Saccharomyces cerevisiae S288C: one gene and its partners. The gene in region 2 interacts genetically with the main gene of each other region. Each region holds a gene or a part of one and is shown on either strand. Other genes may lie near its edges.

Evidence for each region.
Region 1: of HEM1 (region 2) and END3, changing one enhances a phenotype caused by changing the other (phenotypic enhancement), as found in Saccharomyces cerevisiae (one study listed by BioGRID).
Region 3: of HEM1 (region 2) and CHO1, changing one suppresses a phenotype caused by changing the other (phenotypic suppression), as found in Saccharomyces cerevisiae (one study listed by BioGRID).
Region 4: mutations in HEM1 (region 2) and PDR11 impair growth when combined (synthetic growth defect), as found in Saccharomyces cerevisiae (one study listed by BioGRID).

What each region holds. Positions count from the first base shown.
Region 1 is NC_001146.8:465,918-473,171, reverse strand, and holds END3 (End3p), read left to right. Parts: upstream 1-2,069; coding exon 2,070-3,119; downstream 3,120-7,254. Other genes in the region: Ca(2+)-binding ATP:ADP antiporter SAL1, read right to left, coding at 311-1,795; MKT1 (Mkt1p), read right to left, coding at 3,549-6,041; SNN1 (Snn1p), read right to left, coding at 6,530-6,838; TCB2 (tricalbin), read right to left, coding at 7,225-7,254. UniProt on the Saccharomyces cerevisiae protein: Component of the PAN1 actin cytoskeleton-regulatory complex required for the internalization of endosomes during actin-coupled endocytosis. The complex links the site of endocytosis to the cell membrane-associated actin cytoskeleton.
Region 2 is NC_001136.10:921,917-929,598, forward strand, and holds HEM1 (5-aminolevulinate synthase), read left to right. Parts: upstream 1-5,535; coding exon 5,536-7,182; downstream 7,183-7,682. Other genes in the region: PCF11 (Pcf11p), read right to left, coding at 10-1,890; IVY1 (Ivy1p), read left to right, coding at 2,869-4,230; COX20 (Cox20p), read right to left, coding at 4,377-4,994; RTN1 (Rtn1p), read right to left, coding at 7,554-7,682. UniProt on the Saccharomyces cerevisiae protein: Catalyzes the synthesis of 5-aminolevulinate (ALA) from succinyl-CoA and glycine, the first and rate-limiting step in heme biosynthesis.
Region 3 is NC_001137.3:203,504-210,589, forward strand, and holds CHO1 (CDP-diacylglycerol-serine O-phosphatidyltransferase), read right to left. Parts: upstream 4,972-7,086; coding exon 4,141-4,971; downstream 1-4,140. Other genes in the region: carnitine O-acetyltransferase YAT2, read left to right, coding at 1-1,460; GCD11 (translation initiation factor eIF2 subunit gamma), read left to right, coding at 1,748-3,331; GAL83 (Gal83p), read right to left, coding at 5,476-6,729. UniProt on the Saccharomyces cerevisiae protein: Catalyzes the synthesis of phosphatidylserine (PtdSer).
Region 4 is NC_001141.2:326,108-336,424, forward strand, and holds PDR11 (ATP-binding cassette multidrug transporter PDR11), read right to left. Parts: upstream 6,336-10,317; coding exon 2,100-6,335; downstream 1-2,099. Other genes in the region: alpha-1,3-mannosyltransferase MNT3, read left to right, coding at 1-1,888; YIL012W (uncharacterized protein), read left to right, coding at 6,904-7,245; TIR3 (Tir3p), read left to right, coding at 7,620-8,429; thioredoxin peroxidase DOT5, read left to right, coding at 8,775-9,422. UniProt on the Saccharomyces cerevisiae protein: Transporter involved in the uptake of sterol.

The DNA of each region.
Region 1 (7,254 bases), on a different chromosome or scaffold from region 2:
GTATTAATCTGTGCTTTCTAGAGTTCTAGCTATGTACATGTTGAAAAGAATATATATTATAACGAAAGCTTGGCTGACAGTACGCCCACAAACCGCAGCAGCGGTTTATAATTAAATAGAATTCACTAGTTGATACATATGCATATGTTATTATCACTACTCCAGATTCATGAATTTTTTCAGATTTTCGTAACATAAATAGCTGATGGAAACTGCTGGACATACTTTTGCTAAAGTTGGTACTAGACCTTTAAATAGACCTTGATAACCTTCCCTTTCTAGCGTCTTTAACAAAACATCTTTAAAGCCGTTATACACATAAGGATGTGCATATGTTCCTTGGGCTTGTAGTCTTGTTCTTAAAAGATTGATTGGATAAACAACAGAAGCTCCTACAGTTCCACTGAATGCACCCATTGGAAGTACAACCAGGTTGCTTAGAGTGACCTGATCTTGTGGTAGGTTCAGGGTCTTTGCCTGTTTGGCAATATACCATTTTTTTAAGGCAGAAAAAGTCCCCAAATCTAATGCAGCATAGGGAAATATGCCCACTATACCGACTGTGACACCTCTGTAAAATAATCTGACCCCCCCCCTCTCGAAACATATCTTTTGCAGTCTGAAAGAGCAAATTATTCCCCTTCAACTTTGTGTCCAAAGGAGCGCACTGCACCCTGAATTTCAAAGTATCTATAGGATAAACGGAAAACTGAGCTGCCATACCAGCTAAACCACCAGCAATGTAAGTAGAGAACTTTGAAAGATCTTTTGTGTCGCGGCAGCCTTCTAATTTGGTCATTATTTTCTTGGTGACCTCGAAAGAACCAAACTTTATCGAACTTTCTGGAAAAACTTTGATGACGTTTAAACCGTTCCCAACATAAAAAGCCTTTATCCCGCCTTGCCTATATAAGCTTTTGACAGCCTTTGCTAATGGAGATGATATCTTGTTTATGTCAGCATTGGGGTTTTTAGCAAGGAGATCTGTTTTTGAATTTAACAAGATCGAGGATAGATCCGTTCTTGCGATGAGAAACACTTTCAGTCTATCAAATGGCGCGGTACAAGTCCTTGAAATAACACCTGAAATACCACCAGCAATAAAAAACCCGAACCCGCGAATGAAATCGTTTATGAGAGTAACATCTCCCTCTGAGGACAGATCGACATCTTCGTTGAATAGGTAAAAATAGGAATAAGCAGTATGAAGTCTCGAACCCTGCTTTCTCGGTACCAGCAGCAAAAAGTCTCTCCATTGATCATATGTAACGTATAAATCTGAGTCGGTGGTTTTCTTTGACCGATCATTATCAGTATTCTTTTTGTGGCTAGCCTGGCCTCGTAGCGCAATGTTGGCTTTTCTCTTTGGAAACGCCCATTCAAAAAACCTCGAGAATTTGTTCATCTTTTCATTTGAAAGTTCATGATTAAGTTCATTATTACATATGCTCTGGTTGTCGAGGTCTGACAAATACCTATTTATTTCGTTAATGCCAATCTTACCGTCATGATCTAAATCTATCCTCTGGAAGCCGTTCCAAATTTGAGATTCGGCATTGGAAGCATACTTCTTGAAATCGCTTAAATCAACTACAGAGTCCTTGTTAACATCCATTGCAGTAAACAGCATTTTGATTGCCTCATCATTTCCCTTGAGCGGATGGTCGTTCTTCTCAAAAGCACTTATCAGATTATCTAGAGTAACTTGACCATTTCCCTTAACATCAAGTTCCTTGAACAAACACGCATACCGTATATCTCGCTGCTTGTCCGTCTCGCAATTTTTCAGCAGCATTTAGACCGTCATTCGATTGAATTAAACGTTATTTGCCCCTTCAAATATTCAATATTTCCCATCGCTAATAAAAAAGCTGCATTTTTATTTATTACTTTTTAAATATCATATTTGACGATCGTGTAGGACCCCTATGATTTAACATATCAAGAATGAATGAAAAGAACGTCAGAAACACAAGGTTAATTGCCTGTTATAATCAGACGATTGTAATATAACCATAGAGTTAGTGGGTATTGGAAAGGCCGGTAAAGATAACAGGGATCTCTGAAAAATGCCCAAGTTGGAACAATTTGAAATAAAAAAATACTGGCAAATCTTCTCGGGTTTGAAACCAATAGAGAATAAGGTAAACCATGACCAGGTTTTACCAATTCTTTATAATTCCAAATTAGATTCATCGGTTCTAAACAAGATTTGGTTTTTAGCTGATATTGATGACGACGACAATTTAGACTTTGAGGAATTTGTAATTTGCATGAGATTAATATTTGATATGGTTAATAAAAACATTAGCTCTGTTCCAGATGAATTGCCTGATTGGTTGATTCCAGGGAGTAAGGTGAATCTAATCAAAGAAAGAAAGAAGCGCAAGCAAATAGAAAACGCAGACTTGCCTCCAAAGAAGGAAATCAAAGTAGATTGGTACATGTCTCCAGATGATTTGAATCAATATGAAAAAATTTATAATAGCTGTGCAAAACTAACCGATGGTACTATTACATTCAACGAACTGTCAACAAAACTTTCCACAAAATTTTTTAACATCAGTAAGACAGATTTAAATAAGGTTTGGAGTTTAATTAACCCACAAAATTTGCCATCAATTGATAGAGATCCTACTTTTTATTTTATTCACTGTTTAAGACAAAGAAATGATTTGGGTGCTGAAATTCCAGCAAGTTTACCAAATTCTCTGGCGGAGGTGTGCAATAAAAAACAACTGAGCTATGATTTACGGTCCTCTCAACCTCCTACAAAGAGAAAAGAAGAAGCTAACGAAGTGGACAATCTGCGTGACAATGGGCAGAACTCGAGTTCCGATAGCAGTGGCAGTAACGTGCTTTCAAATGAAGACAGTATAAAGCAAAAATATGCTTCTCTGACAGATGATCAAGTTGCGAACATGAGAGAACAATTAGAAGGCCTTTTGAACTACAAAAAGAGTGAAAAAACTCAAGGAGGCTCAAAACTTTCTAAGCGGATTAACATCAGGTCGATAACTGATGACTTGGATAACATTGAACAGCAGGTTGAAGTATTGGAGAATTACTTGAACAATAAGAGACACGAATTGCAAGCATTACAAGCAGAAATCAATTGACACCGATAATTAATTTTATGTACATGAATGTGTAATATTTACTGTTTGTTATTTCACTTGTAAACTTTTTTGATTTGAACTTCAATCTATCCAGTAACGGTGTGGTGTATACTTATTTTTTCCTTTTCTTCTCTGCCGGAATTTCATAAAATTTTTACTGTTCAGCGTTCTTTACATATTTATATAATAGAATATGTCATATAAAGAAACAGTGACTTAGTTTCTGTTTTACTTTTTTTCTCCTATTTCTACCGTGATTTTGATTAGTTTTTTCTTTAATTGTTGCTATTCACTGTGCTTGTGTTAAATCTTGATGATGGTACTTGAACCCTCTGAATAATGATAATATACCTCTTTACAGTAACTATCTTTCTTTATTGGGTGCTTTTTAAATAGTTCCACTATTTCCATCATACTCATTCTCACGCTTCAGCTAGATAGAGCTGTTGTAGTAAACTCAACTGCTTTAGTGAATAATTTAAACACGTTTTCATCGATTAATTTCGCAGCATTTAGCTCCTGCATGACTTTTGAAATTTCAAGAAGAAATCTATGGGATTCGACAAACTGTTCATCAAGATTTGGTGTGGATTTGTAAGTGTTGAATTCAGTAGCAACTAAAGACAATGCATCATTCTTGGCATTACCATTGTGAAGATATTTTTGTAAGAAAAACTCCCACATCATAGCCATTATAGTATTTGGGGAATCTAATTTGAACGGTAAATATCTAACAATCTTTCTTGCCCAACCAAAGTTATCAAGTGATAATCTATTAAACTCGCCAGAAGTTAAAGATGAGATCAAAACGGCTTCAAAAAGTTCATTTAAATTTTCCTTTATGAAAGAAAGATGATCTCTAAAGATCAAAGTTTTCTTATCAATTGGTCCGTGGTAATTTGATGGCTTTTGGTCCACTTGAAATAAAGTTAATACACGCGTAATCAATAGGACGTACAATGATTCTTCAGGATATGAACGAAGAGTGGCTTGAGATAGGGCTGAGGGAGCCGGTGGTTGAACTTCTTCGTCAAGTTTTAAGACATCGCATTTCAAAAATACCAAAAAGATAATAACTGATTCGTGATACTTACTGTCAATATTGAGCTCATTTAATTTTAAGAATACCTCACCCCATCTCGTAGGCTCTAGCAGTTTTTCCTTGAAATCAAAAGTGAAGAACTCCAATAGTACTAGTAATCTTAAGAAATTGGTCGACAATAAATTAAATGGTGAGTTTAATTTGGATTCGATTGGTACGGAGTTTGGGAAAATGACTTTTTCAGATATAAAATCTTTCGCCATATTGCTAGAACCATTTATTGTTGTAATGAACTCAGAGATAGAAAATTCCTTTTCATCAGACGTTTCTGTTTTAACAATTAAGTGGTTGATAGTTTCAAACATAGAAGGTGACATCCTGTTGGTCAAAGTGGTAGGCTCATTTGCCGCATACCACTTGACTTGTTTAATTTGTTTAATCTGATAGTATCTGTTAATTGGTTGAGTTAATAAATTGATTTCTTTATTCTTGAAGATTTCAACGGACTTGGAAACCAGTTTCTTGTAGGATGTAGAAGATCCTCCGCCCAATGGAGGCTCTTCAGGATAAACTCCTGTGACAATTGCGTCAAATAATTTTCCAGTAACCAGTCCTATGGATCTATAGAAATAGTATTCATGAGGTAACATTTGGCCGATAAAATCATGAACATCATTAGGAATATCTCTTGGTTTTCTAACCTCTTTAGTGCTGGATTTTTCATAAGTTAACTTTTCACTAGCGTTCTTAGTCACGGTGGTAGCAGGAGAAGCACTAGATGACGCAGAAGATGGTGAGGAAAGATTACTCTTTTTTCCATCCTTGTTATTCTTTTCACTGTCCTCCTCTGAAACAACGATCTCTTGAACAAATAATTCAACTTTACCTGTATCTTTCAAGACTGGCATGTATCTTAATGCAGAAATACCTCTTTGGTAGTTTTGAATATTCTCTTTGGAGTCATTTTGTAAGGTTGTAGATAGTTGATAGGCATAGAAGTTTGTACCTGTATTCAAAACCATTTCTAGAGCAATATCAAACAGCTGAGGAACTGGATAAATTTGCAATGGTGGTAAAGTTGTTGGTTGCAAATCATTACCTACAGCCATAGCAATATCGATAAACTCTTCATGGGTACAACCTAAATCCTTCATCACTCTTGACCTGTCAATGAATCGAAATTCTTTATTTGGAAATTCCATACCCAAAATGAACCTATCAACACAATCTAGCATCAAACAATCAGTTGGGCCGTAGATCGCATCAATATAAGCGCTATTCAATAAATATGCTAGTTGAAACCAAGAGGAGTAAGGAGCCACTTGGTACATATACCCATGCTCAATAAAATAAGCGATCAAATCGTTTTGGTAAGCTTTGGAGTCAATTGTGGTGTTATGTCTGAATGGCTCTTGGGGTTGAATAGGCTGGTCAATATAGGAATTCTGATTCGAACTAATCAAGTTGTTCCATTGTGTCCAGCCTCTACTTCTCTGCAAAAGAACGGATTCCGTGTTGGATCTTGTTGTGGCATTGGTACCGCTGCTGGAAGTAGTGGTTGACGAAATCGACGCAGAAGCAGATGCTGCAGTAAAATGGCCCGATGCCTCTAATTGGTTGTAAGTCAAACCACCATTAAAGACAAAAATAGGGGTAATATTGAAATCCTTGAATATCTTTAAGTCGCTTTCCAAATACATTTTTAAACTGGTAGGGAAACCACCAATGGCATCCAAATACTGTTCTCTTTTATTGGTCAACAATCTGGAAACATAATGGTTGACGTCTATATCCAGGGTACAATTATTCAGAGCCTCAATGGCATAGGATCCTACTAGACCTCTTTCGAAAAGGAACGATTCCAATGACTTGATTGCCATCGCTTAATTTGCTATTAATTTTTCTGCCTTTAGTACTTTATAGTTCAAAATATCTGAATTTTTGTTATGAATAAATAAAGAGAGTGAAACAGTCTTTATCAGTCAGTCACGCTAAAATAGTTAATGGACAAATTTGGTAATAAATGATTGTAATTTACCAATGTGATTTTTTGTTTTCAAGGTTATAAAGAATTTAAAAGGAAAGGCAAAAAACAAAAAATAGACCAGATATAAGCGAGACAGTTATTTCTTTAATGTAGTTCAATGGTTATTACGTTAATGTTAATATAATAACAATAATAATTAAACAGTCGAGCTGACAAGCTAGAATAACTCTAGCGTGCTACGTTCTTGCTTTCCAGATTTTCCACCATTTTTCGTCTTGTTCTTAATATCGTTTCTCACGGTAGTATTATAAGTACACTGTCGATGCCATCTACGAATGGGTAAAAGGAATCGAAGATTATGCTATACATGTGTATGTTTACTTAGTTGTTGAGGGCTCTAGCATTCCCCTGAAGCTCCTCGTATCTTTGTGAGAGAATGCGCACACGGGCAGATAAGTCAGCCAGTTTATCCATGGTTGGTTTGAATGGTTCTGGGTCATAAAGGACTTGACCTTCTCTTCGAAGTTTATCGCGAACCTTCCGAAGCATAAGGATGAGTAGTGCTTGCGACTCGCGTAATTCATTGATCGATTGATACAGTCCGTCTAAATCGGTGGACAATACTGAATACACCGACAGTTCAACTGGATGGACGCCAGTGCCGTCAGCGCTTATACTATCCCCTGCCATTGCAAAATCCTCTTTCTTCTAAATACTAATGAGACTATATCTACAGTTCTTTTTTCTGGAAATATTGGTGGTGTTTTAACTGTTGATGAGCTGTTTTGGTGGTTTAGCCTCCGTTCTTATTTTAAGTTCTACTTCTACGGTTTTTTTCGCTCAGTCATTCTTCCTACTTAACACTGGAAATGAACAAAACGCTAAGTAGTTTCCCATTTAAGAACACACATAAAAGTACACATTTGTTACAATTTACATACGTAGTAATAAAGAAAAGTACTATAGTAGCACTCGGCATGGTTGAGTTGTTAAGATTGATTTCTCTTTTCTTTTTTTGCTCGTACATTGCGGCATCAAGATGATTTCGTGACACATACTCTTTACCATCGATAGAATTATTGCTTCTCTTCGGATTTTTTGTCCCC
Region 2 (7,682 bases):
GTTCTGCTCTTATTTTGTGACCAATTTCTTTAAGTCATCCAAACCGACCTTGCCACTATTAGATTTGCTTGAATTTTGCGACGTTTCATGATAACATGTCGAGTGGAAATATTTGCCATTCACTTCAATAGTATTTTTCCAAACCCATTCACCAGATTCTTCATCATAAACGCCAGTAACGGTTTCCTTACAAATTGGACATTTGAAGGCCATATCTTGTGAAGTTTCTGGTACAACAACATATTTTCCCCGTATTTCCAACTCGTTACTTCTATCACTTCCTAAAGTGTTGTCTACAGAGCCTTCGTCATTTTCATCAGCGTGAATATTTAGGGCACTTTTATCGATATTTTTATTGGCATGCGGATCAGTATAATCATTTTTATGCTTTGTGGAGGTAATTTCATCATCTTTGAAGGCTGCCCATTGAGAGTCACTCAAATACCAGTTTCTTGATTGAATATTTTTCCTTGTGGTAGTTGTATTTAAGTTAGAGTTGCTTATGCCTGTATTTGCTGTGTTTTGTGATCCCTTAATTCTTGTATTTATTCTGAAATGCCAGTCCAAATGCTCATTTTGTAGTAGTTTTTCACTTTCTGAGTTGCCAAATCTCTTACCACACACGCTACATTTATTTGGCTTGGATCGGTATAATAAGTGAATAAGATTATTTTGGACGATGGGATTTTCTTGAAGAAGAGTTTGTTCGGACAGCTGCAGGGATGGGTTATTCAAAACGTCGATGTTAACCGTGGCAAAATAAGCTTTGCAGTCAGAAAGAATATCATTTAATAAGGGTATCTTTGGCAGGTTCTTCATCAATTGTTTTTCGTGTGAATCAAGAGAGTAGTTTGAGTGTCCATTTAGCTTTTTATAAAGCGTTACGATGGATTCTTTTGGTGGAGTATATATGAGCCCTTCAGCCTTAAGAGATGCATAGAGGTTATTGATTTTGTTTAGGGACTTTTTTTTCTCAATTTCTTGAAAAGATTCAACGCCAGAAATATTACCAAAAAGAGAGGAAGATAAAGAATTCTGTTGGTTCGTTGTATCTGAATTATTTCCAAACAATGGAATCGCTGAATTAGAGTTTTGTGTGTAAGAACCGACCATATCCTTAGTTTCGTGATACTGCTGCTGCTGCTGCTGTTGTTGTTGTTGCTGTTGCTGCTGTTGTTGCTGTTGCTGCTGAAGTTCGTGATACCTCATTCTTTCCTGCAAAACTTGTTGGTCCTGTGAGAAGACCTGCCTTAGTTGCATTTGAACTTGTTTCAGAGCATTGAGAGTTAGTTTTTCTCTTTTCAGTTCTTGTTTCAACTGAGATAAAACCAACAGTTTCATTTTTAATTTTTCATCATTTGGTTGATTCTTTAGCCTTTCACTAGTTAAACAAGTTAATTTATCAATGTCTCTTAATAGGAGGGGAACAGTCGGAGTTGGTAACATTGCTTGCAGGTTTTTCTGGTGGAGAGCACTGGCCTTTATTAAAAACTGTTCAATTTTCTCCAGTGCTGAGCCTTCAAACAGAGGCAGGCCGGTGTCATTAGGATTCAACCAAAGCTTAAACATATTGATGAGTTTTGTTCTTGTGGTGTTGTCCACCAATAAGTATGTTCTTTTGTACAAGTTAAACAAATTTCTACTGAAGTAGATTGTGTATGGGCTGCCAACATTCTTACAAATGGAGTCCAAGGCATAAAAAGCGTATAGCTTCTGCTTAGGCATACATTTTTCAATTCTACTCTCAATGGCGTCAACAAAATATTGAGCACACGAAATGTTTTCTTCTGCTAACTTCGTGAGAGTGGTAATAATGGGTCTCGAGTTAAAAGTTAATTCTTCAAGAATACTGTTGAAATCCTTGACTATAACTTCTGTGTCGTGATCCATAATGAAAAGAGAGTATTACAAATAGACCTAGTGTTTTCAAGTACAGTTTTCTTAACTGCTCCGAAAATTGTCCTGGTAATTCTTTGCAATGCAAAATTGAAAGAGAGACTTTTAAACTACTAAACCCTTAACAGTAGAACAACATTGTCTCATTAATTTTTGAAATTTCGCTTTCTTCCCATGCCTTAGGCCAAGTTCTCATCCAATGCGTCGAGTCCTTAAAAAAAATTCGCCCGGGTAAACTAAAACTTAGATGCACTAGGTAATACCATTTGGTGATAAAGGGAATAAAAAGCAGCAAATCCTAGCTCAATTACGAAACTCTGATCACTTGGGGCCCAGCTTCATTGGCTAAATTGGTGTATCCCTTGAACCGACTACGTAAGTACGTTTTGAAAAGTGTGTAAATCTATGTATAAAAGTACATCAAAAATTAGACTGAGAAAGTTCTGTATAGCTGTACTAATACATTAGGAATAGGCTAGACTTCTTCGCCGCTGGAATAAAACAGCTGGGCCTTCTCTTCATTGGTACCACTTGCTTTGCTCTATTGAAAGTACAAAGAATAGAGCAGACGAGTGTAAACATCCTATCTGCGTTCCAACAGAAGTGCGTATTGAAGTCATCTCATGCTAATGGCCATCTCATGTAGAATAGTAAGGAAAAACGTATCTAATTTATAAAAACTTGAGTTAGATCTCAAACTTCGGTAGATTGCGCCTTATTTAACGGATGATATACACTTATTCTACTGCTCACATTACTCGTTTTACAGGAAAAAATGGTCAATGCGGGCAAAAGAAAAAAATATTGGGCGATATGTTACAAGAAAAGGGTGAGATGGAAATTTATGCTAAACATTAAGTGGAAAAAAACCATATCCATACAATAGAAGTATATATTCTGAATAAAGGGTCAATTAAATTTCACCAAGGAATAAAATATTGTTAAAGAAAGTAACAGGAAGAGAAATCGGATATGCCTGACAATAATACGGAGCAATTGCAGGGATCTCCTTCAAGTGACCAGAGACTGAGGGTTGACTGGGACAACGGTAACCATTTTGACGTCTCTCCCGACAGATACGCGCCTCATCTATCTGAATTTTACCCAATTGTAAATAGTAAAAGACCAGTGGCTAGCAGTGCTGGCTCAGAAAATAACGACCATCTGGACGACATGAACCATTTACGTTCATCCAAAGTGTATTCAAAGGCCCGTCGGGCATCGAGCATAACTTCTGGTACGAGCACAATAAACGACTTGCAAACGCTAATCACAAAGAGAGATGTGAAAGAGACCCAGGAAGCCCTATCGACATTACTCAGGAACTCGAATGCTTATTCGGATTCGTTATTAAAGACATCTCAGAATGGGGCAGAAATTGCCCATTCCTTAGAAAACATTGCCAAGTTGAAGGGTTGCAATGATGAAACGGCGGAGAAACTATTGAGTGCCAGTGGGTTATTCTACCTTTTATCTAATCATCAGCTTATAATGTCAAAGTATTTCAATGACTTGTTGGGAGATAATTTAATTGATGATATTGATGAATTCGAATTACAGACCAAGATAATGGAGAACAAGTTCAAAGCACAAAGCAAAGAGCAAAGTTTAAAATTGAAATTGCAGGAAAGACATAACTTCGATATCTCGAAAAGAAAAATAAGGAATTTAATCTCATACCGAGAGAGCCTTTCTAGCTTGCAAGCAAGGTTAGATCAACTGGAGACACTAAAGCACGATTTTTACATGGATTCATACGAACTTGTGGAAAATACATGCAACAAAGTACTCAGCAAAGTTGCCACGGTATCTAGGGCACAAGTGGAAATTTCTGAAAATATTGCAAGGAAAGGTTGGTCTGGAGGCGGGCTAGACGAACTACTTTGTGATGCAGACGACCCCTTCAGCAAAAAAGCAGATGGGCCATACGGGACCATCGGTGGTGATGGAGAGACTGCTGGAGAAGCATACAACAGCGATGAGGAAACGGGTGGGAATGACGTGGTGCTCAATGAACTACTAGAAGGAACCAGCCAACCTTCCACATCAAAAACATCTTTACCCAAATCCAAGGGGTCCTCAACGGTATCCACACCGAATCATTCACAGTCAAGTTCAAACAAGGACGGGGTACGAAACAATGGCGGCGGCAAAAATGGCGAAGATGAGGATACAGACAATTTGATGGGAACAGAAAATTCATTTTCTTTACCGCCTACGAGAAACTCTGCCGAGGAAACCACACAAACGTTTAAACAATTGTCCATTAAAGAAGATAATGACAATCACAGCAGCGATACGGACGGCATGCAAGACCAGTCAAGTAATATATAAAATTTGTAACTCTATGTATGCTTTTTATATAGAAATGGAGAAAGTGAACAATTGAAGTTATAGTATTTTCGGAGAAATGTTGCATATATACATAGGAAAACGGTTAAAAGGCCCTGCTTCTACCTTCTGTTTCCCCCTCGTTCTTTTCACCAGAACTTGTACCATTTCTTCTCAGAGGAGGCCTGAGATAAATTCTGGTTACTTTGTTCAAACTGACTCTGCTTTTCATTTTTGGCGGCCTCCCATTGCCCCGGCAGAGATGGGTCATGAGGGACATTATGGAGCATTGGTTTTTCCTTTTTCGCCACGGTTTCCTTTGCCAATTGTGCGATCTGGAAACTTTTTTGTCTCTTTAGCCTACATTGCTCCCATCCGACAATCGAGCCCAGTATCAGAGAGCTCATCGCCCAATTCGTGGCCTTAGTCGGGCTCTTATGGTATATAAATATAATAGATCCCATCAAGAACATGCTGGAAAACCCGAGCATGCCCGCGTCTCTGAAGCACGGGATTGAAGTCAGCTTCTGCAAACTAAAATCACTCCATCTGATCGAGTCCCAAGCCTCTTTCAAAGTAGCCCGTTCTTGCTTCTTGGCCAACTGAGAATTGGACAAGTCATCGGCAAACTTGGGTGGAGTGTCTTCTAAGAGGATCTTTTGACCCCGCGAGTAATTTGTCAGCACGCGATCACCATCTGCTTTACCCTGCGGTTGTTGCTGCTGCTTTTGATCTTCTGTCTGATTTGACCACGGCCACCAACGCATCTTTATATTAACTGTTGAGCTGCTCGTTACGCACTGCTGTGGACTTCACTACAATGCTTTACCGAGCAGTGGAGTTTGATATAGTGGTGGTACCCCCGACGGTGCTATAATAAGCTTGCCTGCACGGCTTACCCTACCGCTCGGAAAGGCCGCCTTCGTCGCTCATTGGTCTGCGGCCGCGGGCGCTTTTTGGTCATTGTTCATATATGAAGAAAGAGCAGGAACGGAAATTTTTCATCTTGCCTTGCCCATTGTTCTGATCCATGCGTTGTTAGAAATACAACGTTTGCATCATACCAAACTTCTCCATTCCGTCAGCTGATACTCTATTCGGTTGTGTGTTGCACCCTGCTCTGCTGTCTCTCAACCGTTCTTCCTTTACACGCCTTCCCTTCTCAGCTCGCGTTTCTTTTTTTTTTATCCCACTCTTTTCTTTTTTCTTTCCTATATATTGCCCATATAAGTTTGGTTGGAAGGAAAACTAATAGAGCTAGTTGTTGTCCCTCAATAATCATAACAGTACTTAGGTTTTTTTTTCAGTATGCAACGCTCCATTTTTGCGAGGTTCGGTAACTCCTCTGCCGCTGTTTCCACACTGAATAGGCTGTCCACGACAGCCGCACCACATGCGAAAAATGGCTATGCCACCGCTACTGGTGCTGGTGCCGCTGCTGCCACTGCCACAGCGTCATCAACACATGCAGCAGCAGCAGCAGCCGCTGCTGCCAACCATTCCACCCAGGAGTCGGGTTTCGATTACGAAGGCCTGATAGATTCCGAACTGCAGAAGAAAAGACTTGACAAATCGTACAGATATTTCAACAATATCAACCGATTGGCCAAGGAGTTCCCCCTAGCTCATCGCCAGAGAGAGGCGGACAAGGTCACCGTTTGGTGTTCCAACGACTATTTAGCACTTTCCAAGCACCCTGAGGTATTGGACGCCATGCATAAAACTATCGACAAGTATGGTTGTGGTGCCGGTGGTACAAGAAACATTGCTGGCCATAACATCCCCACTTTGAATCTGGAAGCCGAATTGGCCACTTTACACAAGAAGGAAGGTGCCTTAGTTTTTTCGTCATGTTACGTAGCCAACGATGCCGTCTTATCCCTACTGGGTCAAAAGATGAAGGACTTGGTGATTTTCTCCGACGAACTCAACCATGCGTCCATGATTGTCGGTATTAAGCATGCTAACGTAAAAAAACACATTTTCAAACATAATGACTTGAACGAATTGGAACAACTGCTCCAGTCATACCCCAAATCCGTTCCTAAACTAATTGCTTTCGAATCAGTATATTCTATGGCCGGTTCAGTGGCCGACATAGAAAAAATTTGCGACTTGGCCGACAAATACGGTGCTTTGACCTTCTTGGATGAAGTACATGCGGTCGGCCTGTACGGCCCTCACGGTGCAGGTGTTGCAGAACATTGTGATTTTGAAAGTCACCGTGCAAGTGGTATTGCTACCCCAAAGACCAATGACAAGGGCGGCGCGAAGACTGTGATGGACCGTGTCGACATGATCACCGGCACTTTAGGTAAGTCTTTCGGTAGCGTAGGTGGCTACGTCGCAGCCTCTAGGAAATTGATCGATTGGTTCAGATCGTTTGCACCTGGTTTCATTTTCACCACGACTTTACCACCTTCAGTTATGGCAGGCGCTACCGCAGCAATTAGATACCAACGTTGCCACATCGACCTAAGAACCTCGCAACAGAAACATACCATGTACGTAAAGAAAGCTTTCCATGAGTTGGGCATTCCAGTTATTCCAAATCCTTCTCATATCGTCCCAGTGTTGATTGGTAATGCTGATTTGGCTAAGCAAGCTTCTGACATCTTAATCAATAAGCATCAAATCTACGTACAAGCTATCAACTTCCCTACGGTTGCTCGCGGTACCGAAAGATTGAGAATTACCCCAACGCCAGGTCACACCAACGATTTATCTGACATCTTAATCAATGCAGTTGATGATGTGTTCAATGAGCTACAGTTACCACGTGTCAGAGACTGGGAAAGCCAAGGTGGCTTATTGGGTGTTGGAGAGAGCGGATTTGTGGAAGAGTCTAACTTATGGACATCAAGCCAACTATCTTTAACTAATGACGACTTGAACCCTAATGTTAGAGACCCCATCGTTAAACAACTAGAGGTTTCTAGTGGTATCAAGCAGTAAAACAACCAATATATGCATGGGCTGAGATAGAGGTACAAGGAATTTGTAAATCAGTAAAAAAAAAAATTAACAGTTTTTTTTTTTCATTTTTTTTTTTTATTCTTATTTATGTATGATACTTTATTATTATTTCTCTTAATTATTTATTTATTTAACTAACACGATGAGCACTTTTAACTGCAATGGTTAAACTGTAGCAATGTTGGTAAAAAAGCAGGGAAAGTTCAAAAATAATTTATGTATTTTTCCTCGGGGGTACAGAAAGTAAAGAGAGAGAAACGTATGAGTATATATAGGCTAATGTAATATGTAGTGGTAAATAAAGAGACAAAAGTTAGCTATTCTTGTTTGAAATGAAAAAAAAAAAGCACTCAAGCGTTGTTTTTTTCCAATTCATTTTGCAAGTTTTTTGTACTTTTCTTCAATTCATTAGACAATTCATCGACGTTAAATTCTTGGGTAGTGGAAGGTTCGTGTTGTGGAACTTCTGGCATAACTTG
Region 3 (7,086 bases), on a different chromosome or scaffold from region 2:
CAGTCTTGAGATTAGCTAGAGACGTTAACGCCGGTGACCCACAGTTTTCACTCTGGCCTAACGTGACACAAATGGATCCTGAAACTAAAAAACTGATGACGGCGACCATAAGTGCCGACGGCGGAGGCCCTTCTGAAATTGACCCTAAGTTGGTTGTAAATAAAATCGATTGGTCTTTCAGTAACATCCTGAACACACATGTCCATTTGTCAGAAACCAAACTAGCTGATCTGATTTCCAAGTATGATATTGTTCGCGCTTCTATTCCATTGGGCAGAAGGTCAGCTCAAAGATTAGGAGTCAAGCCCGATTCGATGGTTCAAGTAGCTTTACAAATAGCTCACTATGCTTTGTATGGAAGAATGGTGTTTGGATTAGAACCAGTATCCACACGTGGTTTCAAAAACTCGAGATCATCTTTTATTAACATTCAAAGTCAAGCGCTGTTGGAACTATGTCAATTGTTTATTTCTAGCTCCATTGATGGGACAGATAAATTAGACAAATTTATCCAAACCTGCGAAACACATAATAACATGGTTAAACATGCAAAGTCTGGGGTAGGTTATGAAAAACACTTCAATGCATTGAAATATCTCTTCAAATTTCATGACCATTTTGGTATCCACTTAAGTGGTGATGAATCATCTGCTGCGAAAGATCTTTTCGAAAATCCACTTGTTTTACCTTTCTCACAGCCTGAGTTGATTGTTGCCAACTGTGGTAATGCTGCTACCACGACATTTGGTATAACTCCTGCTGTACCTCATGGCTTTGGAATAGGGTACATCATTAAAGATGATCAAGTAGATTTGACCGTGACATCGCAATTTCGACAGGGTGACAGGTTAATGTTTATGTTAAGTTGGGTGTTAGGCGAAATTCGTTCCTACTGGAGGATGTCACGCGGCACTTCTCATAATAAAACTGGCGTGAAGATCAGTCCAGTGGTCGATAAATTGTATGAAATGGACAATGCAGTCAATAATCCTCCGAAACGTAACGGCCATACAGTCAATGGCTCCCGCAAAACATCTTCTTCATCACAGGTAAATTTGAACAGGTATGGCGGGTTTTTCGATTTGGAAGGCCACATTGACAGTAGGAATATATCTAAAACACCATCGATGAAGAATTTGCAGAAAACCTTCAATGGCTTGACCATGAGCGCAGACAATGATCATTCAAGTTCCGCAGTTTCCGTTCCCACAGAAAAGGAAAAATTAAATACAGGCCATGAAATTTTACAGATCCAACCGCGGGAAGTGGCAAGTAATGGGTTGGAAGCAGATGATGAGACAGATATTGAAATAGTTGCTGGCAATGCTGATGGCACATCCTCTTCGGCATCTTCAGCTACATCTCTAAATTCCAAGAAACGTAACGTCATCAACTCAAGATTCGATATTGATTTTGACCGCAGTCGTGTGGGTAGAAAGGTGGCGACCTTAGATCAATAAGAACGCTCTTTGTTTATCTATTTATTACTAGCATTATGCGTAAGCTTGGCGTGATGTGATATATACTTGTTATATGAAGTATATCAATATGCTTTAATTTATGCTTATTATTTGCTCTCATGTCAGTAACCCGGACCAGATTTGCCATTGAAAAAATTTTCATAGAATAGCCCGATGCTGATCATCAGTACAAAAGACAGAGATTTCATCTCGACCTGTACCAGGAGCTAAGCAAAGAGGGCGGAAAGAGCGTAATACACCGTTAACATCGCGCATTAGAGGTAGACATGAGTGACTTACAAGACCAAGAACCTAGCATTATTATCAACGGTAATTTGGAACCAGTTGGTGAACCAGATATCGTTGAAGAAACGGAAGTTGTAGCTCAAGAAACACAAGAAACACAAGATGCTGATAAGCCAAAGAAGAAAGTCGCCTTCACTGGCTTGGAAGAAGACGGGGAAACTGAAGAAGAAAAAAGGAAAAGGGAATTTGAAGAAGGTGGTGGTTTGCCCGAACAACCATTAAACCCTGATTTTTCAAAATTAAACCCACTATCCGCCGAAATTATCAACAGGCAAGCTACAATAAACATCGGTACCATCGGTCATGTCGCCCACGGTAAATCCACAGTAGTTAGGGCTATTTCAGGTGTCCAAACAGTCCGTTTTAAGGATGAATTAGAACGTAACATTACTATTAAGTTAGGTTACGCTAATGCTAAAATTTATAAATGTCAAGAGCCTACATGTCCCGAACCTGATTGTTATAGATCATTCAAATCTGATAAAGAAATCAGTCCTAAATGTCAAAGACCAGGTTGTCCGGGGCGTTACAAATTGGTCCGTCACGTTTCTTTTGTTGACTGTCCCGGTCACGATATCTTAATGAGTACTATGTTATCAGGTGCTGCTGTTATGGATGCTGCGTTACTGTTGATTGCAGGTAATGAATCTTGTCCACAACCTCAAACCTCAGAGCATTTAGCTGCCATTGAAATCATGAAATTAAAGCACGTCATCATCTTACAGAATAAGGTCGATTTAATGCGTGAAGAAAGTGCCTTAGAACACCAAAAATCCATCTTGAAGTTCATCAGAGGTACCATTGCTGACGGTGCTCCTATTGTACCAATATCCGCTCAGTTGAAGTATAACATCGACGCAGTTAATGAATTTATTGTCAAGACTATTCCCGTACCACCAAGAGATTTTATGATTTCTCCAAGGTTAATTGTTATTCGTTCATTTGATGTTAATAAGCCAGGTGCTGAAATCGAGGACCTGAAAGGTGGTGTTGCCGGTGGTTCTATTTTGAATGGTGTTTTCAAATTAGGTGATGAAATTGAGATTAGACCAGGTATTGTCACCAAGGATGATAAGGGTAAAATTCAATGTAAACCAATCTTTTCTAACATTGTCTCCTTATTTGCCGAACAAAATGACTTGAAGTTTGCTGTTCCCGGTGGTCTGATTGGTGTTGGTACTAAAGTTGATCCTACCTTGTGTAGAGCTGATCGTCTTGTCGGTCAAGTCGTCGGTGCTAAGGGTCATTTGCCAAACATTTATACTGATATCGAAATCAACTACTTTTTGCTACGTCGTCTATTAGGTGTCAAAACAGATGGTCAAAAGCAAGCCAAAGTCAGAAAATTAGAGCCAAATGAAGTTCTTATGGTCAACATTGGTTCTACCGCTACGGGGGCTCGTGTGGTTGCCGTTAAAGCTGATATGGCAAGATTACAGTTAACGTCGCCCGCTTGTACTGAAATTAACGAGAAGATTGCTTTGTCGAGACGTATCGAAAAGCATTGGCGTTTGATTGGTTGGGCAACCATTAAAAAGGGTACTACATTGGAACCCATCGCTTAAGGAACCAATAAAACCACTGCAAAGACAAAAATTTCATAATTAATCTGAAAGAAAGTGAAGATAAGAAACGGGCTAGGAGGAAGGGAAACTGACACTTCTGGTTATTGCAATATGCTCATATACATTGATGCGTAATGACATTGATGATCTTTATTCTCTTTTTATAACGTTTTCTTTCTTTTTTTTTCCTTCTTACATAGTATTCAACTGTATATTTAACATGTTTTACGTATTTTTAAGAAAAAATTACTAAACGCGATAATATTAAGCAAATATTTATCTCATAGTTCTCGAACTCATTTATTTCCCATTGATGCCATGAAAACCTCTCAAACCTTTATCGTCTAGTTACACCAGTAGTCAATAAACTGCCTTTCTTTTTTTACACCCAACATACTCTACACTAAATCTTATCGGTGGTTTGTACATGGAGACAATTGCACAAAGATAATGAAGCTCCAAAATTATTCAGTATCTATTGAGTATATATAACCTTGAAAAGGTTTTATTTTATATAAGTTCGCCATCTTAGTATAGTGGTTAGTACACATCGTTGTGGCCGATGAAACCCTGGTTCGATTCTAGGAGATGGCATATTTATTTTTTATATTCTTAATATACAAAGAATGTCGTGTGAAGCTGTAGGCACAGGTAATTTTGTAACCATAGTCAGATGTGGTGATCATGAGAGCGAATTATAATTTTATACCAGCTGGCAAGAATTGAGTAATATTTAGACCAGCATATAAAAGTAGAATAAAAAGTTATATGTACAAATTTTTTTTGACGCCAGGCATGAACAAAAACTACTATGGCTTTGGAATTTTCAAGCTCTTCGAAATCATTCCACACCCATGGATAAAAAATACTAGAATAATTGGATGAAATTCCAATATTTGGTCTTCTCTAAAAATGCCGAATGGGATGTTATCAAAAATTAAACCCTTTCTGACACAATATGCCATACCCAACACCAAAGCTAGAGTGGTTGGCATAGGCAATCCCTCAAAATATTTAGATTTACCTGTGCTAGAATCTTTGGGTAATTGAGCAACGGTGACATTAAACCTTGCTAATCTCGCTAAGCCGCAAAGGACAAAGAAAGATAAAATCATGACATCGAATGTAGTTTGAAATCCAATGGCAAAAGCAATTGCAGCCGGAGCCACACCAAAGGAAACCAAGTCGGCCAAAGAGTCCAGTTCTTGACCCATTAAGGAAGACCTATTTCTCAGACGTGCTACTCTCCCGTCAAGGAAATCGAAACACATACCCAATAAAATAAAGAAATGGGCACGCTGGACGTAATGAGGTTTACCTGTAAGCGTAAATCTCAGACAACTTACAATAGAGTAAAACCCAGAAAATCCATTCAGCATAGTAATGTAATCTGCCATATGCAAATTCCTCATCATGCTGAAATGATGTTCGTCACTTGTAAATTTTTGGATATCAGTAGCATTAGGGGGGGCCAATGGAGTTGTATTTATAGAAAATATACTTGAGGCCCTTCTGCTTAATGTGCCACCAACTTCATCTGAGGCATACCCGTCATTTTCGTCTCTGTGTTCATTTACGATAACGTCTGTGTCCGTGTGTGGGAATTCTTGAGGTGCGAAATCTTCATCTGATTCAACCATTTTTTAATATATAGTTTTATTTTTGTTTTTTGATTGAATCAAATAGACAACTAAAAATGACAATCACCCACAAAATGAAAAAAATAGGTGTATCTCTCTTTCCTTATTTATAATGTTTCCTATAAAATACGGATCTTCATCTTTAGATGGGTCCATGTGAAAGCTCAAAGGCGTGAGGGTGCCGTGTGAACGTTCAAAGTGATTTTGACCAATTACTGATATATATTCAGTGTCTGGCACAGAAGTCTGCACACATTGAGAAGGAGTGGGGATTGATGTTAGGGATATCTTCTATAATGCTACTAATTTATATATACATCCCGTAACAATTATGTGCATATACGTACGTACGTACGTATATACGTATATACATTCCAACCCATATATACAAATACTTACATGTAGACCTTGATATTTAGTATCATGGAGAGCTATAATGGAAAAATCGCAGAAACATCTTCGCTTTTATCTAAAAAGATGTAGCTATAAGCTCTATAATCATATCTATTGCAATGGTGTATACAGTATTTGGGTCACGTATTTTTGTTTATACCTAACAATGGATGCGACACATAATGTATTATGCTTAATACTGCTTGTCGCCAGATGGTTCAATATAACATGGTTCGGAATGGGAAGGGCGCCAGACGTATTATCAGTTTGCGCGTTTGAGTAACTATTCAAAATGACGTTTTCTAAATGAGGTGGCAGTTGTGGAGGAGTCAACCAGGCCATATTTTGGTGATTATTTTGCTGCTGATCAAGTGTCAAATAATATTGTTCCATTACATTTGGGTCGGTGAACACAGCAGGTATATCTTGAGTGTACTCTAAATTAGGTTTAGCGGGGGTCTCATCGTGAAAACGAGTGTAACCATCGCCCATGTCATCTGGTTCCTTTTCTATCTCCAATGCGATTCTCGAGCGAGCGCTCATAGGTCTCTTACTCAATTTGCTATCATCTACATGATTCGCTTTTTTTTCAGCCAGATGCTGCTGAGGTTCATTGCCCCAATCAGGCGGTGCGCTCACTTCCATATAGTTGACGAAGTTTCCCATTTGGTCGGTTGCGGTAGGTAAATAATCACTGAATCTTAACTCATTGTCAACAATAAATCTGAAACGATGAGTACCTGGAGGCAGCTGTAATTTTACATGCATAAGTCCAGGCTGTCCAGGGACTGGTACTAACCCGATCATCTTTCTCCATCCCGTAAAAGACCCAGTAACGTACACTTTATTACCCCCCTGTTGCCAAGTGATGTCAACTGGAAACATCATAGCTCTTCCTTTCTTGCCTTCCACAGTGCCCTGTTGCTGTTCTTGTTGCTGTTGAAAGCCTTGATTTTGAAGTGAGTCAGGCTGCTGAGATGGTTGATAATCCATTTTTTGCAAGGTATTTCCTGTCATATCTGCATCGTGGATATCGCCTTCGTTGCTGTCGATACTACTCGAGCTGCTAGCATCGATATCATCATCAGAATCAAAGGTCTCCCCAGAACCATTTTCCGCATGGTTTGAATATGGAGGTATTTCATCGTCATCATCGTCGTTAAAAATTAAACTCGATTTATGTCTTAAAGGATGCTGAGGCTCTAATTCATTAGGATTATCTACGTTCATTTGAGAAAAAGTGTACGCCAGGGAAGCCTCATTAGTTGAATCGGCGCTATGTTTACCATTAATCGTAGTGTTGCTAGCTGCGTCACTGACATCTAACATGGAAGCATCCTTGTTTTCAGGGTTGTCGCCAGCCATATTTCAGTGTAGATAATTTATTATTGTGCAGGAAACGACCTTATACAAAATATAGTAGCTCTTATCTAGGATGCTCTCTACTTGCGATTACAACAGTGGCCCAAATCCTACGAGATCGGTATTGTTTTCTTTGCCACGTTTTTTCGTGAGCTTTTCCAAAGGGGAGCAAATTGGTCGCTTAAGGATGAAAATTAGTGCAACAAAAAAAATAGCGTGGCCTGTGTTTTAACGGTAAAGACAAATTATTGAAGGTAGAGCAGGACTTTGAACCGGTCCGGATGAAGACCACTGGACCATGTTTCAGTCTCACATGGGTTTTTTGAAGCACAGCTTTTAAATTTGCAATGATTTTCTCCA
Region 4 (10,317 bases), on a different chromosome or scaffold from region 2:
TAAATCATTAAAATCCAGAAGACTAATCTTAAAACGATTAGTAACACTGCTGCTCTCTTTATTCTTTTCTTATCTCATTTTCTCTGCCAGTCGGAATGTTACATCATCCAATAAATTAAACAACCATGCAAGCGAGAGGACAGCTGTTGAATCATCTGCATTCAATTGGATTGAAAAACGACAACACCAAGTGAGATCCGAAAACTTAATGAACAGATTATCTGCCTACTTTTTGCCCTTTTTGAGTAGAAGTTCTCACAAAGAACGTGTATTGTTGAGGCAATTAGGAAATAATGAAATAGCGAAGAGTGACAAGTGCCGTTACATTTTTGAAGTACTATACAAGATTGATCCCGACTGGGACAATGCGCAAACTGCAAAATTTTATAATGTTGATGGTGTAGATAACACGTTGGCCTCATTGTTAGGGGAAAGATTAAGATCTTATGATTATTGCTTTTTATCTGGTCAATTAGATCCTACTGCAATATTTGCAAATTCAACCGTAAATCCTCATGATTTGCAAAACAGAATGTTTCCATTTCTGAAGAAAATTAACGAGGAATCCAAAACTGTAATGTGGCCTATTATCACAGACATGACAACTGGAGAGGCAGTTCCGGCACCCGAGGTTGATATGGAATCATCAAACTTTAATGGTAACTTTTGGTCCAACTGGAATAGGTTGAGCAAAGGAAGAGGTTTTGTTTTAACTATTGCTGAAAAGGATGTTCCTTTATTTTTGAAACAGTTGAAAGTGATGGAATTTTCAAAAAACGAATTACCATTCCAAATAGTATCCACGGGAAATGAACTATCAGCAGAGTCTATTGCTAAAATTTCTGAGACCGCTAAAGAAACGGAACAAAGGGTCTACTTAGTAGACTGCTCGACAGTGCTTGACACTAATTTTGCTAATACATACATTTCTTTTTTTCAGAATAAATGGGTCGCCACTTTGTTCAACACATTTGAAGAATACATTTTGTTGGATGCAGACGTAGTACCGTTTGTAGGGTCTGATTACTTTTTCGACTCTCCTTCTTACAGGGAGAGCGGGATACTTTTGTTCAAGGATAGGGTTATGGAAAACGAGCAAACTTTCCAATACTGCATCGAAATGTTAAATGAAGTGGAACCCTCTGCACAAGAACGCAGATTTATTGGAAGTAGGTTAGTTTTTGATTCGTCATTACCGTTTTCTTCCGAAACCTCAGAAGAAGCATCTGTGTATTACAATTTTTTCAAAAAATTACGACTCCATCATGTTGATAGTGGTTTGGTTGTAGTCAATAAACTTGAGAAATTAAATGGATTGTTGATGTCTTTTATGTTAAATTTGGATGGAAAATTGCAGAGGTGTGTGTATGGTGACAAGGAAATATTCTGGTTGGGGCAATTATATGCTGGCCAGGATTATTCTATCAATCCCGTTGATGGCAGTATTATTGGACCTGTTAATGAAGAGCCTGAAAATGATGACGGACATAAAAGCGGGATGTACTACATTTGTTCTACGCAGATTGCACACAGTGACTCCAAAAATCGATTACTATGGGTAAACGGTGGACTGAAGACTTGTAAAATTTCGAACAGTGCTGAAGATGACTTTGGAAGAGAGCCAGAGTATTTTAAGAGTAGATATGGGGACATTTCAAAATTAAAAAGGATATATGATGCTTCGTTGAACGTAGAGGGACTAATCGTTCCTGACGTTTCTGTTCATCCATGGATGCAAATCAAGGAATGTTCTAATTATATGTATTGTGCATATGCTACGGGTGACGGACACACAAACTCTGAACTTGACGAAGGTCGTCTAATCACGTTTACTGAAAAGGAATTACGATATATCAATGATATTTCTCGAACCTGGAATGCTAATTGAGAAAAAAAAAAGTGAAAAGGAAATGAGAGTATTAATATTTATTAAGTATGGAGCATATATAATCCGAAAAATGATTATAGATTAATTTAGAATATGATTTGGGAATAAATTAACAATTAGTTTAAAGCAGAAGGCAGCCGGATGAGGAACAAGAACTGTTGAATAGTATTAGGTAATTTTGAATGTTTTCTAACGGAACGCTATTCACTGATTATACGCTTTGTTCGTTTGGATTATGAGATGTTTTGGACCGCCTCATTGATGGGATACACTTCTTTATACCATCAATCACAGAAGGCCAAATTTTTTTGATGTAGGTTAGGTAGAAGCCCACAAACATGGCGGCAATGTTAAAGCAAACGAAAACCCATTCAAAACCAAAATTTCTCCATCTGTGATGATAACTCATATTTTCTTGAGCAAGGAAGTCATCCCCAACAGTGTACATGCAGTAGGCGCAGACGGTGTATGTGTTATTGATGTGCAGTTTCCCACCAAATTCATCAATAAAGGGTTTCATAAACTGACCGCAGGTTTGACCCATTACAGGTTGGCTTGGTACCATTTCACTTGTCGAGCAGTTTACTTCTCTGTCATGGAGAAGTAAGCTTACGAAAGTTTCAATGAAATACGTGTATGGTGAAACCCTGTACATGAATGTCCAAAATCTTGGGAATAACGAGTATGGTTGCATAACGCCACAGAATGAAGCTGTGAAACTATAGAGGAAGGCAACAAAGACAGCGGCAGTTTGTAAATCGGGGGCAGAATATAGAAGCCACAACCCAAATGACAAATAATACATGGAAAATAAAATATAATTCAAGTAAAAGACACCAGCTACACGGGCAGAGGTTTCGAAACCGCAACAGAAGTAGCAACACAGGAAAAATAAGGTAGAACTGGAAATGGCTAATGGTAATTCAACAATAGTTTGAGCAATCAAAAGAACGGTCCAATGATAAGTATTAGATCTCGCTTCCCTGGCGATATATACTTCTTTAGATTGCAAAGCCTTATCTTGAACCTGATTGATCAAAGGGGAGGAAACACAAAGCATCATGAAGCACAAGAAAATAGCATCTTGCAGACCGTTGATATTATGCTTTGTCCTCCAAAATGAAAATCCAATGAATAGTCCAGCGCCAGCATTCAAAGCATATTTAGCGAAAACATAGGTCATGTCTCTCTTGGTACAAATGTACTGTCTCTTTGTGATTAACTTTATTTGTTCCATATACGAAGGCGGACTCCATACGGACGTAGTGAAATCAACACCAGATTTCCGGGCTTCTTCTTCTAATAAAAGCAAATCATCAGCAACCCGCACTTTTTCTGGAGAGGATTGCCAGAGTTCTGCCCAGTTAATTGAATCAGATTGCTTATGGTAAGATACTGGCTCATCAATTTTGCTTGAGGTTGGCTTCTCTGCATCATCCATTGGAATATTTGTACTTCCGCTACCAACAACGTCAATAACGAAATCAGCCGGATTATCCATTTCTCTGTCAAATGTTAGGCGTCTATCGTGAGCTACAAAATAGTCACAGGCATTAGGTAATGAACCAAAATAGACACACTCACCACCTCTTTTTAGTAAATAGATGTTATCAAAATAGCTGATGACACTTTTGCTAGGCTGATGAATAGTACATAAGATAGCCTGACCTTGCATCGAAAGCTTTTTCAGAAATTGCACGATGGTTAAAGCTGCTTCGGCGTCTAGCCCTGAAGTAGGTTCATCTAGGAATAACAACAGAGAAGGCTTAGTGACCAATTCAACACCAATAGATAATAATTTTCTTTGAGTTGGAGATAAATCAGCAACCAGTTTTTCCGAAGGCAATCTTAATAGGTTGCTAACAACTCCTAAATAGTCTCTATCCCCATCACCTCTTAGGACGCAGGAAATTTCCAAAGACTCTCTCACAGTTAAGAGCTCTAAATGAACATCTTGCTGTTGAACGAACCCTATACTTCTTCTGAATGCATCAATATTCGTTAAGGGCTGTCCATCGATTAATAATTCACCGGTAACAACCCCGCTTTCGGTCCTTTGAGACAAGACATTCAACAAAGTTGTCTTACCAGCACCAGATTCACCCATTAGGGCAGTTAATCCGGAACTTATATATCCAGAAGCGTCGTTGATCAATTTTTTGTCTCCAATGGTATAATTGATATTTTTCCAGGAGATGACGTGCTTTTGCGTTTCCATAGCTACGGATTCCTTAGTATGATTGTTAACAGTTTCATCTGGATGTTTAATATTGTAATCAGTATCGTATTGATGCGAGACTGATGGAACAGAAGAGGATGAAGTGGAAAAATTGGCTATCGGGGTCTTGGGAGTACATACGCCATCGTTGTTGGTAATAGCGCTTTTATTATTCTTTTTTTGGCTATTCAGAAAGGGACAGTATCTTTTGAGATAGTTATTCCAGCGCAATAAATTTTCTCTAGTAAACAGAGGCGTGATATATTCCGCTGCTAGTAAAGAGCAAAATAGGAAGAAACACAGAAACCCAATGATAATACCGAAATTTCTCCACACGTGATGGTAAGTGTATTTCAATCCACTTTTTAAATAATCACGGCCTCTGACGTAATCGTTACCTAGGGTAGCGCCTTGCCAGGCACAAGCTTTATGACTGAATGAAATATTGTCATAATATTCACCTCTGGGAATAATACTTTCATGACAGTCTAGTTTCAGGTTAAACAATTCGTTACTCAAAATGGCTTCCATGGCAAACATAGCAGGATTCAAATATGCAATCCATATGAACCATGGATGCATATCTTTCATATAAATAACATAGGACGCGTACATGGCAATGGCTAACAGTAAGATACCGGCCAATAGGTTTGCCATTGATAGAGTTGGAGCGATCAAAGCAGTTAATGCAAATAGTGACACCATGCAAAAATTATAGACGGAAAGGAAAAGCAAAAAGATGAAAAACCTAGCTGCATTGTACTGTAAATGGGCCAAAAAGTAAAGTATGATTGTAAAAATAACCACCAGTATAAATTTAGAGCAGCAATCGAAAAAATTTGTTGCTAAAGTTTCCACCCAATTATAATAAAAATGGAGCTGGACATGTTTACGAACGACGGGTTGCCTTTGAAAGGAAGCAGGCATGTCGGCGAGAGAAAGAAATGTAAAGAATAGGATGGAAAAGAAAGTTAAAGATCCTCTAGAAAACGAACCAATTGTTGTCAGGGGAATGTTATAAAAAAGGGACCCAATAACCAAAGACTGCACCACAACAGAAACAAATTGAGAAATCAAGTAGTTTCTGTCACCAATGATTCTTTCGAAAGCTCTTACAGTGCACGTTTTCAGTTGCGTCTTTAGCGGAATACTAAAAATGGGGGAGATATCATCCGGATTAACATCTTTTCTGGTGCATTCTTGCACTGTTTTTGAAGTGATGGCCTTCCAGTGTTTATAGTATGGAGACTGAATCCATAATGTATGCAAATCTGTTTCATTATTGATGTTTAAAGCTTGATTTTCTTCAGAAACAACAGATGGAGTGTCAAGACCAACAATGGAATTAGACGTTTCCTTGAACTTAAAATTTAAGATTGATGTTAAATATTCAATAATACAATCGTTAGGGTTTTTTTTTATCTGTAAGGTGTCATGAAAATGGGTTAAACACTCCTCCATGGTTCCGTAAAACACCTGGAAGGAATCACCTAACATAAGAATCTTGTCAAACTTGCTGACAATTTTGTCGCTTGCTTGAGAAATTTTAACAAAATTCACCGATCTTGTAGCTTTTGCCATCTTTTGGGTAATGGAAAGAAATTCTAGGGCGGTGGCAGAGTCCAAACCCTTCGTCGAGTTGTCCCATAAGTAAACAGACCCATTGGCAATAAACGTTTCTATAATGGAGATACGTTTCCTTTCACCTCCAGAAACACCACGAACGTAGTCATTACCCACATACGTCTTCTTTACGTGCGACAGTCCGAACTCTTTTAATAACTCGTCTCTCATTTCAATACGCTCTTGCTTGGGAATGTGAAACTTACAACTCAACGCAAAATCAATGGTTTGCTCCACCGTCAGATACGGGAAGTGAATATCTTGTTCGTTATTATAAATGATCTGATGGGGGCATTTGGAAGCAAACTGTTTGTACTCATTGTCTTTGAATCTAATAGACCCTTCAGGCGAGTATTTCAGATGCTTGTGACCATGGAATAGACCTTTGAAGAGCGCTGATGTTGGGTTTCCCAGTACTAAGACGACTTCACCTTCATTAGCACGAAAAGTGATATCACTAATTTCTAAATGGCCTACGTTTTTGAATTCCGATGCGGACTCTTCATCGTTCTGAACAGCACCGAGGGATTCTTCCAATTGAACGGTAGCCCCATCAAAGGTGACTGAAGCGTCAGGAATTGGATTAAAATATTTGGAAAGAGACATCCGCGAGGCGTTGCTTCTCTAATTTTACTCTATCGTGTTTAGTTGTGAATTTTTTTGCTACAGTATGCAAGTTCTTTTTACCAACCCGTTTACGAACTAATGAGAAAAGGGTTTAAGTGTGTGATAATACTATTAATAGCTAAAAGAGCAGAGAGCTTTACGATGTTGTATGTTGTTTTATATAGGTGAGAGCAGGATCTGCGGAAAATACTTCGTACCGTAGTATCCATTTTGCCTATGGAGGAAAGCTTGTTTCCAAACCAGGAGATCCGCAGACAGGAAAAGTTCGAGGCCAAACAAAAACCGCAGCACAATGGAGTAAAAGTCGAAGGCACGGGCCCCAAACGATAGAGTGGAAGTTGTAGGAAACAAAAGTGGCCGTCTATGTGGCGCTTCTCTGCGGTGAATTCTGTGCGAAGTGCCTAAACGAAAACGGACGGAGAAGGCTGCGGGGGGATATCCCTTGCATAAAGGATGCCCGGCACTGTCCTAGACGGTGCCTTCCCTTAGAGACTAGGAGAGACTTGAGTAGGAGAAACTGAGCAGGAAAATTCGAGAGATAAAGTACATGTGCCTAGGTAAGCTGTACTTCGAACAGCTAATATTAGTAAGATGCATAAAGGGGCGTCAAAGTGGAAATATAACGACAGGAGAATCTCGGTGTGTAAGTTGGAATGTGTATTGCACCACTTCCATGATTGGGCTTTTTTCCTGGCGCAAAATGTTGCTTTTTCAACATTTTTCTTATACGCAGAGAGAGAATCGTCAGATAGGTGGTAAAACTTGGAGCCTAATTAGCTCATTATTTCATTTGAACGAGACATTGGCTTCTGCCCTACATCACCCATACGAGACATTGGCCTTATACGAGGCGTACTTCGCCTTGCGGGAAAAAAAATTTCTTTTGTAAGCGAGGTTACTCAGAAACTGTGACTGAAGGCAGAGGTTGGAAACGTGTGTAGACTCCAAATGGAACGATAGGAACGTGTACCCTACCGCTTCTGCACACGTTTCTTAGATATGCGTGCCTTAAGGCGACCCATTGTTCCTGTTTACCATGATTTCTGTAGGCTTTTTTTTAGAAGGCCCTAGAATGGATTGCAGATTTCCGTCTGAGAAGGCAGTATACGTACATATGAATATATATATACATATATTCTTTGGTGGAGAGTATAAGCGTTTCGTCTCCTCTTCCTTTCTCTACTGCAGATTTTCTTGCTGGTTGTTTGATTTTTTCTTTTTAGTGTTCCCCAGATCCAATTGTTCAACCGCCCACACACAACAATGTCTTTCACTAAAATCGCTGCCTTATTAGCTGTTGCCGCTGCCTCCACTCAATTGGTTTCTGCTGAAGTTGGACAATATGAAATCGTCGAATTTGACGCTATTTTGGCTGATGTCAAGGCCAATTTGGAACAATATATGTCCTTGGCAATGAATAATCCAGACTTTACCCTACCATCTGGTGTTTTGGATGTTTACCAACATATGACCACTGCTACTGATGATTCCTACACCAGTTATTTCACCGAAATGGACTTTGCTCAAATCACCACTGCCATGGTTCAAGTGCCTTGGTACTCTTCTAGACTGGAACCTGAAATCATCGCTGCTTTACAAAGCGCGGGTATCAGTATTACCTCCTTAGGTCAAACCGTTTCCGAATCTGGTTCCGAATCTGCCACTGCTTCCTCAGACGCTTCTTCTGCTTCTGAATCCTCTTCAGCTGCTTCTTCTTCTGCTTCTGAATCCTCTTCAGCTGCCTCCTCTTCTGCTTCTGAATCCTCTTCAGCTGCTTCTTCCTCTGCTTCAGAATCTTCTTCTGCTGCCTCCTCTTCTGCTTCTGAAGCTGCTAAGTCTTCTAGCTCTGCCAAGTCTTCTGGCTCTTCTGCTGCTTCATCTGCTGCTTCATCTGCTTCTTCCAAGGCCTCTTCTGCAGCTTCCTCTTCTGCAAAGGCCTCCTCTTCTGCAGAAAAATCTACTAATAGCTCCTCCTCTGCTACCTCCAAGAACGCTGGTGCAGCTATGGACATGGGCTTCTTCTCCGCTGGTGTTGGTGCCGCTATTGCCGGTGCCGCTGCTATGCTCTTATGATTGTCACTTATTAATGATAAATTATAAAATGTTATATGTAAAAAAACAAATATACACTTTTTGAATATTAGTATCCTATTTTAATATACTGTCTCCTAGATAATACAAACTTAATTTGCTTTCTCTTCACACTTTTTTCTTTACTCTTGTAATGTACACTTGGCTGTACATTAAAAAAAGGAATGTTCGAGCAAGAGCATGAAATCCACAGACGGCTGTGCCATGTAGCAGCCGTCGAGAAAAAAAAGATATAGAAAAGGGAAGAGAAATATCATTGTTATTACATCCACTGGATGAAGTAATACTACGAGCTTTATACAGGTAATATTAAAGTTCCTTAATAGAATGGGTGAAGCACTACGTAGATCAACCAGGATTGCAATATCCAAAAGAATGTTGGAAGAGGAAGAGTCCAAACTGGCCCCTATTTCGACACCGGAAGTGCCTAAGAAGAAAATCAAGACGGGTCCTAAACATAACGCTAATCAAGCAGTAGTTCAAGAGGCAAATAGGTCATCTGATGTTAACGAATTAGAGATAGGCGATCCTATTCCTGATTTGAGTCTTTTAAATGAAGATAATGACTCTATCTCCTTGAAGAAAATCACCGAAAATAACAGAGTTGTGGTGTTTTTTGTGTATCCCAGGGCAAGCACGCCTGGTTGTACTAGACAGGCCTGTGGATTTCGTGACAATTACCAGGAACTCAAGAAATATGCTGCTGTCTTTGGACTGAGTGCAGATTCTGTGACATCCCAGAAAAAGTTTCAGAGTAAACAAAATTTGCCATATCATTTACTAAGCGATCCAAAGAGAGAGTTTATTGGGTTGCTAGGAGCCAAAAAAACGCCACTTTCTGGTTCTATTAGATCGCATTTCATTTTTGTTGATGGGAAGTTAAAATTCAAAAGAGTTAAGATATCACCAGAAGTTAGTGTAAATGACGCCAAAAAGGAGGTTTTAGAAGTCGCTGAAAAGTTTAAAGAAGAATGAAGTTTAATAACCCCCTTTTTGTTTCTCTAGAGGAGTACTTATCGGTAAAATATTCCAAACCCTTCCCTTTATATATGTAGATAAACGAAGATATTCTAACTCTCTCACACTTATAAAATATCGAGCCTGCAGAAGGTCATAAATATTTATATACAAATGGGAAAGTACTTAACGATCCGACTTGATCAATATCAAATATCGTGGCCTGGTTTACATTGAGAACGGGCACTATTTCTTTGGACGAAATGTTGCTTAGGCAAATTTTGAAGTGAGACATTGCTCGAGAATTTGTTACGTAGACTAAGTCAGCATCGCCAATGATCATTAAGCAATTGGTCGTCTCAGATGTGATCCTGCAATTATGAGTCCTTTCAAAATTAGATACACACTCTTGGGAAAACTCAACTAAGTATTTGGTGTGAGGAATCTCTTATCGATGCGTATACCTTGTAGTCGCAAACGTTATAAAATTTTGTAATTTTGGCGAAATGGCACGGATTGGTTAAAATTGTCGGGCTCATATGCGGTAGCGCTAAGTCCTGCTTGGTCAAGCTAGGAATTACATGGCCAGAGGGATGATATTGATCATGCTCCGAGTTGTCTTCAATTAATGCCTTTATCCATGGTTGTAGAAAAACTGAGTCTGTTGGCTTTGAATGAGACTCCAGAATTACTTTCGGCATTGTTTACTTGTTATCCCGATTTGTACCCAGGATTTACAGCTTTTAATTCATTATCTATGGTCAACTTTTGCTGTCTAGTTTCATATTTACTCGCTACCGTTTCACCAACTGTAGTCATCAGTTATGGTAAAAAAATCTCCGCGACGGGGAATTGAACCCCGATCTGGCACGCGACAAGCGCCCATTCTGACCATTAAACTATCACGGATTTG